2 linked regions of the Bombyx mori genome follow. The protein of the gene in region 1 purifies or fractionates together with the protein of each later gene. This does not show direct contact. Links are inferred from orthologs where the notes say so. Each region holds a gene or a part of one and is shown in the gene's direction. Other genes may lie near its edges.

Region 1 (6,930 bases):
GTCGCCGGGGCCTGATAATTTTAATTAGCGGCGGCCACGATAAGAGGGTTATCGTGTCGCGTCGCTTTGCCGAAGTAGCTTTTTGACGCTACTTTATTATATATTGGTATCGTTTCGATTGTATAACCGGGAGAGAATTATGTGCAAACGAGCCGCGTGAGCGACCACTACACTTACATAGGTCATGACGGAACGTATATAAGTCTTGTAGAGAGTCATCTTGTTACGTAGAGATAATTAAGTTCGCTTGTAGATCATGGGATAAGCAGATTCGAACGAATAGGAACGCGACTCGGTCGCGTATTGACTTAATGTGGGGATCGAGTGTCATCGCTCTGTCGGGGGTGACGCCTAAGTAATAGGGGTATGAAATTTCTATTTTAATAGTTACTTCGAACTGACATAGAACCTTCATGGTTCGAGATTTTTGAGTGAATCTTTTTTCAAATGGTGGTATGAGGTTCTTCTTTTAAAAATATGCAACATTCGATTAAGTATAGATTTTCAGTCGTTTTTTTTATTCAGCTTAGATCAGAATGATGGATATTTCGAAAATTCGAGTGATTTTTTAATACGACGCGGAACTAACGCTGCTTACGCTGCAGAAACAGCTCGCAATATCAATGTTGCGTTTGGAGAGGGAACTGCTAATCAACGCATCGTGCGATTTTTGTTTAAAAGATTTCGTGATGGAAATTTTGATTTGAAGAACGAACCACGTGGAAGACCGCTCACACATGTGAATAACAATGAATCGAAAGAGATGGTGCCAAATGAAGCCAAACTACCCAGGAATTAGCGGCATGGTTTAGCGTTACCTTATCAACAATATTGACTCATTTGCGTCAAATCAATAATATATAAAATATGAAAAGTGGGTGCCTCATGATTTTACTGATCTGCAGAAAGAAACGTGTGTTGAAACTTGTGTTACCCTGTTGAATCGTTGCAGAAATAAAGGAATATTGGATCGAATTGTGACATGTGATGAAAGTGAATTCTTTACGATAACCTTAAGCGAAAAAATGTTATGGTTGACCCCAGGTCAAACGCCGCAACAGTGTCCTAAAGCAAAGCTTACCAATAAAAAGGTAATGGTAACTGTTTGGTGGTCTCAGCAGGGTGTTATTCACTATAGCTTTCTCTGATCTGGTCAAACAATAACGGCGGATGTTTACTGTGCCGAACTCCAGCAAAACTTGCAGTGAAACATCCATGACTCATGAATTGATCTTCACTATTATTGCTCCATGATAACGCGAGACCTCATACAGCACGAGAAACTGTTTTAACTCTACATGCAATTAAAAACCATTCGTCACTCTCCATATTCGCTAGACCTTGCTCCAACGGACTACCATTTTTATCGTGATTTGGACAATTTTCTACGTGATAAAAAGTTTTCTTTCCAGGAGGCAGTACAAAATGCTTTCACACAGTTTGTAGAATCTAGATCAGCAGAGTTATATCGCAATGGCATAAATGACCTTCCTATTAGATGGCAGCAATGTATTGATAATAATGATAGATATTTTGACTAAACATATATTATGTTGAAAAAAAACGAATTTCAAATTTTCAGTTCAAATCGGCAATTTCATACTTTAACCCCTAACACTTAGCCTTCAAAGTCTACGGTACTTAAGGGCTGGCCAAAAAATTTAATCGCGAGAATGGAGTTAATTAGCACGCCTTAAGTATGCGTGACTAGATATTAGCAGCGTTGTCGGGAGGGCTGATAACATTAAAAAAAACTGTCTTCGTCCACGGGTCTACGGTCAACGGTTTGCATTCCAGGACAATGTTCGTGTTCGGTATTCATGTGTATGTGATATTGAATGAACAAATAAAAAAAATTGCAAACGATACCATTACAGAGTACTTATTACATCCTTTGGCTTTACTAAGTTATGCACTCGAAAAACATACCAGATAGACCAAGATAGGCATGGATTTTTTTTTATTGCTTAGATATATGGACGAGCTCACAGCTCACATGGTGTTAAGTGGTTACTGGAGCCCATAGACATCTACAACGTAAATGCGCCATCCACCTTGAGATATAAGTTCGAAGGTCTCAAGTATATGTAGTTACAACGGCTGCCCCACCCTTCAAACCGAAACGCATTACTGTTTCACGGCAGAAATAAACAGGGTGGTGGTACCTACCCGCGCAGACTCTCAAAAGGTCCTACCACCAGTAAATATGTCTTAAATATTGACTGTGTCATCGGGAACGCGAGGAGTGAAGTTGTGTGATTTGTTTTATTTTGTCTATTTAGTGTTTCTTCAGGTTTAAATGTGTAATAACGGTGGTTTATTAACTGTTTAGTATCTGTGAAAGTGCACAAATATGGGAAAATGAAACAAAACCGCTGGACGCAACTTCTCGGGATCCTCCAAAAAGTCCACTGAAAAAATCTTAGTAAATGACCACCATTTTACTAAGATTATATTTCATCCCATATCATCTCATTTCATTTCATTTCATCCCAGTTGATTAATGTCTCAAATTAATCATCTTCATTTCATTTCACCCCATATAATCATTTTTCATAAAGATAAGAATATATTTAAATTAAAATAAGACATGACTTAAAGGTCTTAGTACCAGGTCATTAAATTCCTTAAAAAACGGTCAAGATGTCAAAATTTTGACACCTGACAGCTGATCCGAGTTATGTCAGAATAGAATTCTCACAACTGATTTACGTTCGAAAATTTATTACATGAAATTTCAATTAAATTTAATATTTATCGAATTTTCGTTAAAAAAAGAATGGATATGCTAGTAGTGTAACAATTTAAAAATAAAATATATGGATGAAACTTTTGGCAGTAAACATTTTCAAAAAATTAACTTTTACACTTTTGGGACCTGTTCGGAAATCGAACGTACCCGAGGGGCGTAAAACAATCCGCCATTTTGTCCCTACAACAATTTAGAATTTTATTATTTCGATAGGTACATGATAGCGCTTTCAATCAAAATAATCACAATTAAAAAGTGATGTTAAAAGAACTGTGCATCGTTTTATAAATCTGTGATATTTGTGTCCAATATTATTTTTATTTACGGTCATCTTGACGTCTCGAAACTGACCGATTTTTGACGTCGACTAAAGAGCTCCGGATAAACCAAAATGGGCACAAGAGAGGATGAATATGATTATTTGTTCAAAGGTAAGACTTTTACTCGCCTGTTTCTTTTAATTAATTTTCGCAGTCAACGGAACTATTATTTTATAACTTATAAATGATGAATCCCATTGTTTGTAATACTATAGTGACGTAGAAAAAATGTCTTATTTAGATTTCTCCTTTGTTTTGTGTTTTAATTCTCAGTACTATATTAGAATCAAAATGTATGCATCAAACCAAATATAATTTCAATCTCAGACCAAAAATAATATTGTATTTTAACATCAGCTGATTGTATGACTCGATCGATTTTTTTGTAATTTCCCGTTCTCATGACTCATGTATGCCTCTTTTGTAGTCTAATAAAGAAAATGATTGTTCTATGTTTCGATAATGTTAACAATAATTTAGTAAAATATAGTATTTTATAACCACTAACCTATAACGAATTGTCTTTAATAGTAAAATAAAATAGTAAACACGATATTATAGCTTATGATCATCAGGATCGCGACTCGCGATAATCACCTTGAGTTTAGTAAATAAGTAACTTTATTTTAATTTTAGTTGTACTCATTGGAGATTCTGGTGTGGGTAAAAGCAGTCTTCTGTCGCGTTTCACTAGAAATGAATTCAATTTAGAATCTAAATCTACCATAGGTGTGGAATTTGCAACAAGAAGTATAGAGGTGAGTATCAAATTCCATTAAATAATGTAATTGTTCAAAAATTGAGCCATTAATTATATCTGTTATGAAATAAAAATAGGGGCGGCAACTAAACTTTTAATGTGAATAGTTTAAAAACGATGTCTAATATCTCAAACACCAACAAAAGTAAACCTATTTTGTTTAAAATGTACTACAAAATTACATTATTCATATTTTATAAATGGATGTTGTTCTCAAATTCACATAATATATCAATATATTCACAGATATAAGTGTAAGTACCTATCGTTTCAATAGTGTGAATTCTTTCAGCAAAACATATTTTCACAATATGCGCCCTCTTATAGTCAGTATTAAGTATGTATGACAAATATATTTTTAGTGATCTTCAAATTAAAATTGCTTGTCTTATCTTTAATCAGTAAACCTTGTAATTCATTAACAAAAACCTTTAAATTTATTCAAATATAACAGTACATAGTTGAAATGAGTCATCTTTATTTAGAATAATTTCAATAGTCATTGTATATACAGCTGCTTACCCTGCTACAAATAAAACAAAAAATCACTGTTGTAATAGTAATTTTAAATCATATTTTCACTTAGTTCATTGTATGTAACAGTTTCCCTTTTTGTCAAATTGTTTCCAATACACACATATTTATATTAGTCATGAAAAATGTAGTAAAATTTTGTTGGACTGGTTTAAAAAAATGAGATGTCATAGAAGTATATGGACAAATTAAGAGACTCTCAGACCTTTGTGTTAGTTTTCAGACTATTTATGTTTTCTGTATAAACTTTAAATTTTTTTTTTTTTATTTTTTTTTTATTGCCTTTGTAGGCAGACGGGCATACGGCCCACCTGATGGTGAGTGGTTACCGTCGCCCATAGACTTCAGCAATGCCAGGGGCAGAGCCAAGCCGCTGCCTACCGCTTAATACTCTCCACAAGCCTCGTTTGAAGAAGGACATGTCATAGCGCTCGGGAAACACAAACAAATTGTTAAACAAACAATATAAATTCTTAAACCTACAATGTTTTCACTATTTAGCTTCTGTCCCACTGTCAAGTAAATATTTCTTAAAACTTTGAAAGGCTTAAAAAAAAACAAGATTTTATTCTACTTGTGTACCAATTGCAATTCTGTTAGTTTAAATGATAGAAAAGATGTTGGTTAATTTTAATTTTTGTTATTTATTTATGGAAGTTCCGGTTTCCATCTCAAATTGTAGGTGTCAAAGAATGTCAATATTATCAATATTATGAATCACAAACATGAGAAAAGCTGTACAAAATGATTTATATGAACTCATTATTTTGTGAGCATGTGAGAGAGATCATAAGATATTCTCGTCCCCTATCCCTTTTCTGTATGACCATTTCAAAAATATTTTAATAATTTTTTTTTACAACCAATTTTGTGGGTGTTTTAAAAATGGAGATTTCCTTTTACATAAATATTATACATCTTATTGGATTGGAGCATAGATAAATTGTGGTATGTTCACAGATTGGACAGCTTTGTGAAGTAGTTTTTGTGAAACTCAACATTTCCACTCATATTCAATTCTCAGGTCTGTCAAGTGGTGGTAGAACCATCCTGTCTATTTTCTGCTGCTATTCCAAGTTAAAATATGAGACAACTATGACACAATTTAATCGAGACTTTTTAATCACATAATACATCTAAGGAATAATAAATAAAAATATCATATTTTGATTCTTCCTACTGGCCAAGGGAACAATGTTGAGTTGTAAATTCGAATTTATAGTTGTAAGTGAGCCTTTATTTAAAATCCTGAATCGTGTTGGCAAGGAAATAATTTATTAAAGCCCACGGGGACCAATGAACTAAGCTTTTTTTTTTATTGCTTAGAAGGGTGGACGAGCTCACAGCCCACCTGGTGTTATGTGGTTACTGGAGCCCATAGACATCCACAGCGTAAATGCGCCACCCACCTTGAGATATAAGTTCTAAGGTCTCAAGTATAGTTACAACGGCTGCCCCACTCTTCAAACCGAAACACATTCCTGCCTCACGGCAGAGATAGGCAGGGTGGTGGTACCCACCCGCGCGGACTCACAATTGGTCCTACCACAATTAATTACGCAAATTACAATTTTGCGGGTTTGATTTTTATTACACGATGTTATTCCTTCACTGTGGAAGTCAATCGTGAACATGTGTTAAGTACGTATTTCATTAGAAAAATTGGTACCCGCCTGCGAGATTCGAACACCGGTGCATCGCTCAACACGAATGCACCGGACGTCTTATCCTTTAGGCCACGACGACTTCAAAATCGAAGGCTATATCTTGTTGTTGTCCACCAGGTCGACGGTAAGACCATAAAAGCTCAGATATGGGACACGGCCGGGCAGGAGCGGTACCGCGCCATCACGTCGGCGTACTACCGCGGCGCGGTGGGCGCGCTGCTCGTGTACGATATCGCCAAGCACCTGTCGTACGAGAACGTGGAGCGGTGGCTGCGCGAGCTGCGCGACCACGCCGACCAGAACATCCTCATCATGCTGGTCGGCAACAAGAGCGATCTCAGACATCTTAGGTACGTCTCTAGTTACGTCCAATCTAGACAACACTAGCGAGCTCCAATCTAGACAACACTAGCGAGCTCCAATCTAGACAACACTATCGAGCTCCAATCTAGACAACACTAGCGACCTAAAGGATTAGACGTCCAGTGCATTCGTATGTAACGATGCGCCGGTGCTCGAATCCCGCTGGCAAGTACCAATTTTTCTAATTAAATACTTTCTTAGCAAATGTTCTCGATTGACTTCCACAGTGAAGGAATATCATCATGTAATAAACATCTAATCTGCAAAATTATAATTTGCATAATTACTGATGGTAGAAACTCTTGTGAGTTCATACAGGGAAAATTAAGTAACCCCGCCAACATCAAGACATGAGATCGAAATAAATCACTCCAAAATTCTAGATAATCCCTAAAGGCATTAGTTTCCGAAATATGACAAGTTTGTTTTCTTATTTAAAAACCAAACTTCATTGGAATTCATACTCATTGAAATACAGAAACAACTTGTCATCTAAACATCCGTGATTTTAGATGAGATTTCCACTTATATCGT
Region 2 (6,183 bases), on another chromosome or scaffold:
ACACTATTTATTCAACTAAGAACGTGTTGGAATATTAAAATTTTATAATACCATTATTGATGTACCATGTCTCTGGCAAACAAGTCATTTTGATTTTGAATTTGAATAAACTTCTTCAGCTATTTGAGTCAGATAAACTTAATTGAAATTCAATTAAAAATATCGAACTGTTGATGCTGATACCAAATAAAACGCATCTTTAATTACAAAGCCTGTTAAGCGATATGTTGCTCAATCCCAATAGCCTTTCACCCCTCGATAATAGTCTACAATCGATCGAATTATAATTACAATTTGAATAGTCAGCCTCGTTAATATCCGACCTTATTCCCCTGTCGCGATTAACAGATACCGCCTCCTCTGTCGGCACAAGGACATCGACCGCGCCAACATCAAAGGGACGTGCTCCATAATTCTTTCCAAGCACCTCAAGGATCCGGACAAATACCAGTTCGGTGCCACGAAGATATTCTTCCGGGCGGGACAGGTCAGTGTCAGGGTTTTTATTCAGCATTATACGATAGAAAAAAAAACTCGCTCAGTTAAGTTTTTTTTAAGGGTTTGTATGACACGGTAACTAAGACCTTTAAGTCATGTCCTATTTCAATTTATATTATTATTTTTATGAAAAATGATGAAATGAAATGAAATGAAGATAATTAATTTAAGACATTAATCAACTGGGATGAAATTAAATGAAATGAGATGATATGGGATGACATAATATATTCTCAGTAAAATGGTGGTCATTTACTAAGATTTTTTCAGTGGACTTTTTGGAGAATCCCGAGAAGTTACGTGCAGCGGCTGTGTTTCATTTTCCCACATTTGTGCACTTTCACAGATACTAAACAGTTTATAAACCACCATTATTACACATTTAAACCTGAAGAAACACTAAACAGACAAAATAAAACAAATCACACAACTTCACTCCTCGTGTACCCGCCAATTAAGTTGTCTTCATCAGTGTTTCCACTTTAAAGATTTCCTTTCCCGACGTCTCAATTCAAAATTCTCAATCTCATGGCTTTTTTCCCCTCAAAAATTTTTCTGCTGTAGTTTTTACTTTTGGCCCTAGTGTAGTAACTAAAAAAAAGGTCTATATCGATTTTCTTGTATAGACTGTCCACGCCTCTAGTGATACTATACTGTGATAATATTATTTACACTAAATGCCATTTTCCCATGATTTCCTGCAATTTCCCCTTTTAATGTCTTCCCGCTTTTCTCCCCCCCTATGGACCCTAATTTCCCCACAAATGGGGAATTTCCCCTCACTGTGGAAACACTGTTCTTTACGTGACCGTAGCGATATGAGAATCTCTTAAACACGATAAAAGTTTTATTATAATCACAATCTCTTAAACACAATACAAGTTGTATCATAGTCGGTCCAGCGTTAGCGTGTGATGCTGGAACTAACGTGGGCTTGGAGTGAATGTAATTTGTGACAAGCGGGCCGCTGTCTATAAAAAAAGACCTATGCTTATTTTTATGTCGGCTTGTATAAGAAACTACGTTCGACTCGTGGATATTATGCTAAACAATGTTTTTTTCCAGTTCCCTAACATTATAGACAAATAATTACAAATCGACGCTTGAAAGGCAAACGTGATTAAGCGACAATAACTGCTTTGTACATAAATGATAGGCAATAACAATATTCGATGCGCAAAAAATATATATTTCTAGGTCTATTAAAATCCTACCGAAGAAGATCCTACAGCTCGATTCGCTAAAATAGGTTTTTTCATGTATTTGAACTTTAAATTAGTCTACTGTAAAGTTCACGCATTGTCGCTTAGTCACGTTTGCCTTTCAAGCGTCGAAATCTATTCGCAAACAAAATTTGATTTTTCTTTGTCGTGTACTATGACGTCATTGTACAACAGTGCTTACGGCCTCTATACTATCCATACAACTATTACAATGAATTTACGAGTTGATGTTTTGATCTGTTTGACACGAGCAGGTCGCATACTTAGAGAAGGTCCGCGCGGACATACAGCGCGAGTACTGCGTGCGCGTGCAGAGCTGCGTGCGCACGTTCGTGGCCCGTCGGAAGTACCTCCGGGTCATGAGGACCGTGGTCGGCATCCAGGCCCGCTCCCGGGGCTACCTGGCCAGGCGGTGAGTGTCTCAACGAACGTGGAGGGCTTACTGGTGACTTACTATCAGACCACCCTGACTATTGCTGCCTATTTTTTCGGAAACTTGCATTGCGACTATAGTCGGCATGTAACTATACTGAGACCTTAGAACTTATATCTCAAGGTGGGTGGCGCATTTACGTTGTAGATGTCTATGGGCTCCTGTAACCACTTAACATCAGGTTGGCTGTAAGTTCGTCCACCAGTCTAAGCAATAAAAAAAAAAACATGCGTGCAATTCACACGTGGCAGAAGTGAAACCTTCAAAAATTAAAGTACAATGACATGTCTAAGTCTATGTAAAATTTTGTCAATAGAAGTAATTAATTGCAAATCGCTTTTACAGTATGAGCTAACGTATTCTGTGAATTGATATTTTAACTTCACGTATAATCCTAAATTAAAATTCACTACAAGAGGTTTCGTACACACGTTAGTATTAAAAACATCTTATAGATGGCGCTGTATTAAAAAAATCATAACGTATAATGTGTTCTATCTCATTCTCTCGCCGGCTGAATCCTATACATTTATGTGTTTGTGTCTCTATGGACTTATTTTTTCGTTTCATCGAGTTTGAAATCACAACGATTTTGAAGAAGTTTCACTTCAAGAAGCTCTTTTATTTATTTAATTACTAGCTGACCCGGCAGACTTCGTAGTTCCTCAATTGATAATTAAAAGACCTAAAATTTTGTATAAAATAAACTTAAAACAAACAAAAGGAATACGTCCGACGGGGGAAACATCAAAGGACAAACAAAATTGTTATTTTTATTTAATTCTGAGCATTTTCATGTTTATCTACCTTTTAAACCTTCTCTGGACTTCCACAAATAATTCAATAAAAATATTTATTTATCGTGTGACAGCAAAGCGCAGGAGCTACGCCGCGCCCGCGCTGCCGTGACCCTCCAGCGGCACGTGCGCGGGTGGCTGGCGCGGCGCAACTACCGCCGGCTGCGGGGCCTGGCGCTGGCGCTGCAGGCGCGCGCCCGCGGGTACCTCGCCAGGAGACTGTACCGGGACCGCAGGAAACTAAGAGCCGTGAGTCATCCGACAGTTTTATCCGACTTTAACTAGTAAGCATCGAACCCACAGATACAGCCCGCTGAGTCTCTTGCCGGATTTGGTAGGCAGCGGCTTGGCTCTGCCCCTGGCATTGCTGACGTCCATGAGCGACGGTGACCACTTACTCTCAGGTGGGCCGTATGCTCGTCAGCCTGAAATGATAATAAAAAGAAAAAGATCTCCTCAGTGGGTCGCGTTTCCGATCCGGTAGTAGATTCATTCGCGAAGCAGCTTTTCTTTACTTGGTCTAGGAGGCGCTCGGGCAGCTGTTAGCAAATCCCACCCCTCTTGGCTGAGTCTTTGCTGGCCCACCTGTCCTGGTGAAACTGGAAAGGTCTCCGGGCCAGGACCCTGAAACTGCGATACTTTAAGACTTAATTAATAAATTTTTTGTATGGAAACTAGCGACATCTTGTAGCGAATGCCCATAAACTTATATGTTGTGGTAGACTCTGCGAAGCACTGCTCTTGCTAGGGTTCGTGTTAGCAACGTCGTCGGGTTTGAGTCCCGTGAGCTCACCTACTAGCTAAAGTTATGCTGAAATAGCCTAAGCTCTCAGCTTAGGTAGGAAAAAATAAAAAAGTTAAGCAGCGACTTGGCTCTGCCCCTGATATAACTGACGACCATGGGCGACGGTAACCACTCACCATATATATTTTTTTGCCTTTTTAGGCAGATGAGCGTACGGTCCCCCTGATGATAAACGGTCACCGTCGCTCATGGACGTCAGCAATGCTAGCCGCCGCCACTTCCGAAAATAAACTAACAATTTTAATTTTAACAATCAACCTTTATTATTTGCTTCGTTCGAATTTTTATAAAGGTTGCTACAAATAAAAATTACGTATTAAAAAAAACTATGCGTGTACTTATGTACGCACTATATCGACTATAGCATTGTTCGATTCCAGGTCGTCACGATACAGAGATACGCTCGCGGCTTCTTGGCTAGACAGAGGGTGAAGAAGATGAAGAGACAGATCATAGTCGCGCAGGCAGCGGTGAGATCATTGTGCACAGTGACGTCACGACACGCGTGCTGTAGTGTCCAGTTGCACAGGACCCCTACAATGAACTCATGTAGCTAGCAACAAAATGCTTTAAAAATAAATAAAAATGATCATAGAATATATTCGAATGTCCAAACACGTCATTACGGATTCTCCCGATCCAGTAACGGTGCTTTTAGGTACCACAAGAACCGGTCACCGTCCTCGTCGAACCCGTCGCTTGCGACGAAGGGCTCGGCGAGTAAACTAACCCACAGACACAGCCCACAGAGTTTCTCGCCGGATCTTCTCAGTGGGTCATATTTCTGATCCGATGGTAGATTCTGCGAAGCACGGCTCTTGCTAGGGCCAGTGTTAGCAACAAAGTTAGCAGAATGGGTAGGAGAAAAAAAATCTCGACCGTGAATGTTTACCGTATGGCTCCGGTCCCTGACATCCACGTTCTGGTCTCCAGACAAGTACATCTCGTTGAACGGTTCCAGATCCGTCGTTTCCTAGCGCGTCGCCAGTACAAGCGGCTCCGCATCGAGGCCCGCAGCCTCGACCACGTGAAGACCCTCAACAAGGGCCTGGAGAACAAGATCATCAGCCTGCAGCAGCGGCTCGGCGGCGCCATGGAGAAGAACAAGCTGATCGAGCCGCTCACCGCGCAGGTCGCGGACCTCAAGTTAGTGGCGGGGTGTGAGGGGCGCGGGGGTCGCCGCAGTGTCCCGGATACAGACTTCCTTCGTTCAAATTTTAAAAAACTACCGTAGCTACATCAACCTCATGTCTCAAAGTAAATTCCTTCATCGTGAAGTCGTTCATGAGTCTTTGTCGAGTACGTATGACATACGAGCACACCGGACGTCTTACTCAAAAGGCCACGGACGAATCCAGAATAACAAAACCGGTCTCTCACACAATATAAATAAATAATAAATATTTACTAATAATCACGCCACGTTAACTGGTCCCGTGATAAATTCGTAAAGAATTTGTGTTACAGGTACCAGATAACGGATATAAATGTAAGATTTTTATTATACACATACATATACATATTTAATATACATCCATAACCCTGGAAAATACATTTTATATTTATCATACAAATATCTTCCCTTGGCGGGATTCGAACCAGCGACCCCCTTGTGTAGTGACCATGTCACTTACCACTACACCAGACGGCCGTTATATATATATTTATTATCAGGGCAAAACTGGAACTACTCAAACTGGTTGAGATCGAAGTGAAAACGTTAAAAGTCGGCATCGACGACAAGGACAGCATTATAAACGCGCTGCGAGCGGAACTGCAGTCGGAAAGGGACGCCAATACGCGACTCGCCCAAGCGAAGAAAGGGATAGAGGATCAATATAACAAGGACAGACTGACTTGGGAAGAAGAGAGCGAGAAATTGGCCAACGAACTAAAGAGCGTCAAAGAAAACTACACGTTAGCTATTGAAGGTAGGAACTGTTTTTTAGGGGAGGTGGGTAGTTTTGGCAAAGACTTATTTGAGGCTTAGTAGACTTGCTTAGTGAGAGTTTTTTAACGTTCTCGATCGCGTTTTTTTATTTATTGCTTAGATGGATGGACGAGCTCACAGCCCACCTGGTGTTAAGTGGTTACTGGAGCCCATAGACATCTACAACGTAAATGCGCCACCCACCTCGAGATATAAGTTCTAAGATCTCAGGTATAGTTACAACGGCTACCGCACCCTTCGAACCGAAACGCATTACTGCTTCACGGCGGAAATAGGCGGGGTGGTGGTACCTACCCGTGCGGACTCACGAGAGGTCCTACCACCAGTGATTACGCAAATTATAATTTTGCGGGTTTGATTTTTATTACACGATGTTATTCCTTCACCGTGGAAGTCAATCGTGAACATTTGTTGAGTACGTGTTTCATTAGACAAATTGGTACCCGCCGGCGGGATTCGAACACCGGTGCATCGCT

What was found. The genes of interacting proteins can lie anywhere in the genome.
Region 2: the proteins of Rab11 (region 1) and unconventional myosin-Va purify together in Drosophila melanogaster (affinity purification with western blotting; 4 studies listed by BioGRID, with this or other methods). This does not show direct contact. The link is inferred for Bombyx mori from reciprocal best matches to the Drosophila melanogaster genes Rab11 and didum.

Annotation. Positions count from the first base shown.
Region 1 is NC_085112.1:15,247,531-15,254,460, forward strand, and holds the start of Rab11 (ras-related GTP-binding protein Rab11), read left to right. Parts: upstream 1-3,066; 5' UTR 3,067-3,143; coding exon 3,144-3,183; intron 3,184-3,708; coding exon 3,709-3,830; intron 3,831-6,150; coding exon 6,151-6,383; intron 6,384-6,930.
Region 2 is NC_085108.1:6,150,023-6,156,205, forward strand, and holds part of unconventional myosin-Va, read left to right. Parts: intron 1-348; coding exon 349-487; intron 488-1,975; coding exon 1,976-2,133; intron 2,134-3,025; coding exon 3,026-3,200; intron 3,201-4,136; coding exon 4,137-4,226; intron 4,227-4,717; coding exon 4,718-4,902; intron 4,903-5,430; coding exon 5,431-5,687; intron 5,688-6,183.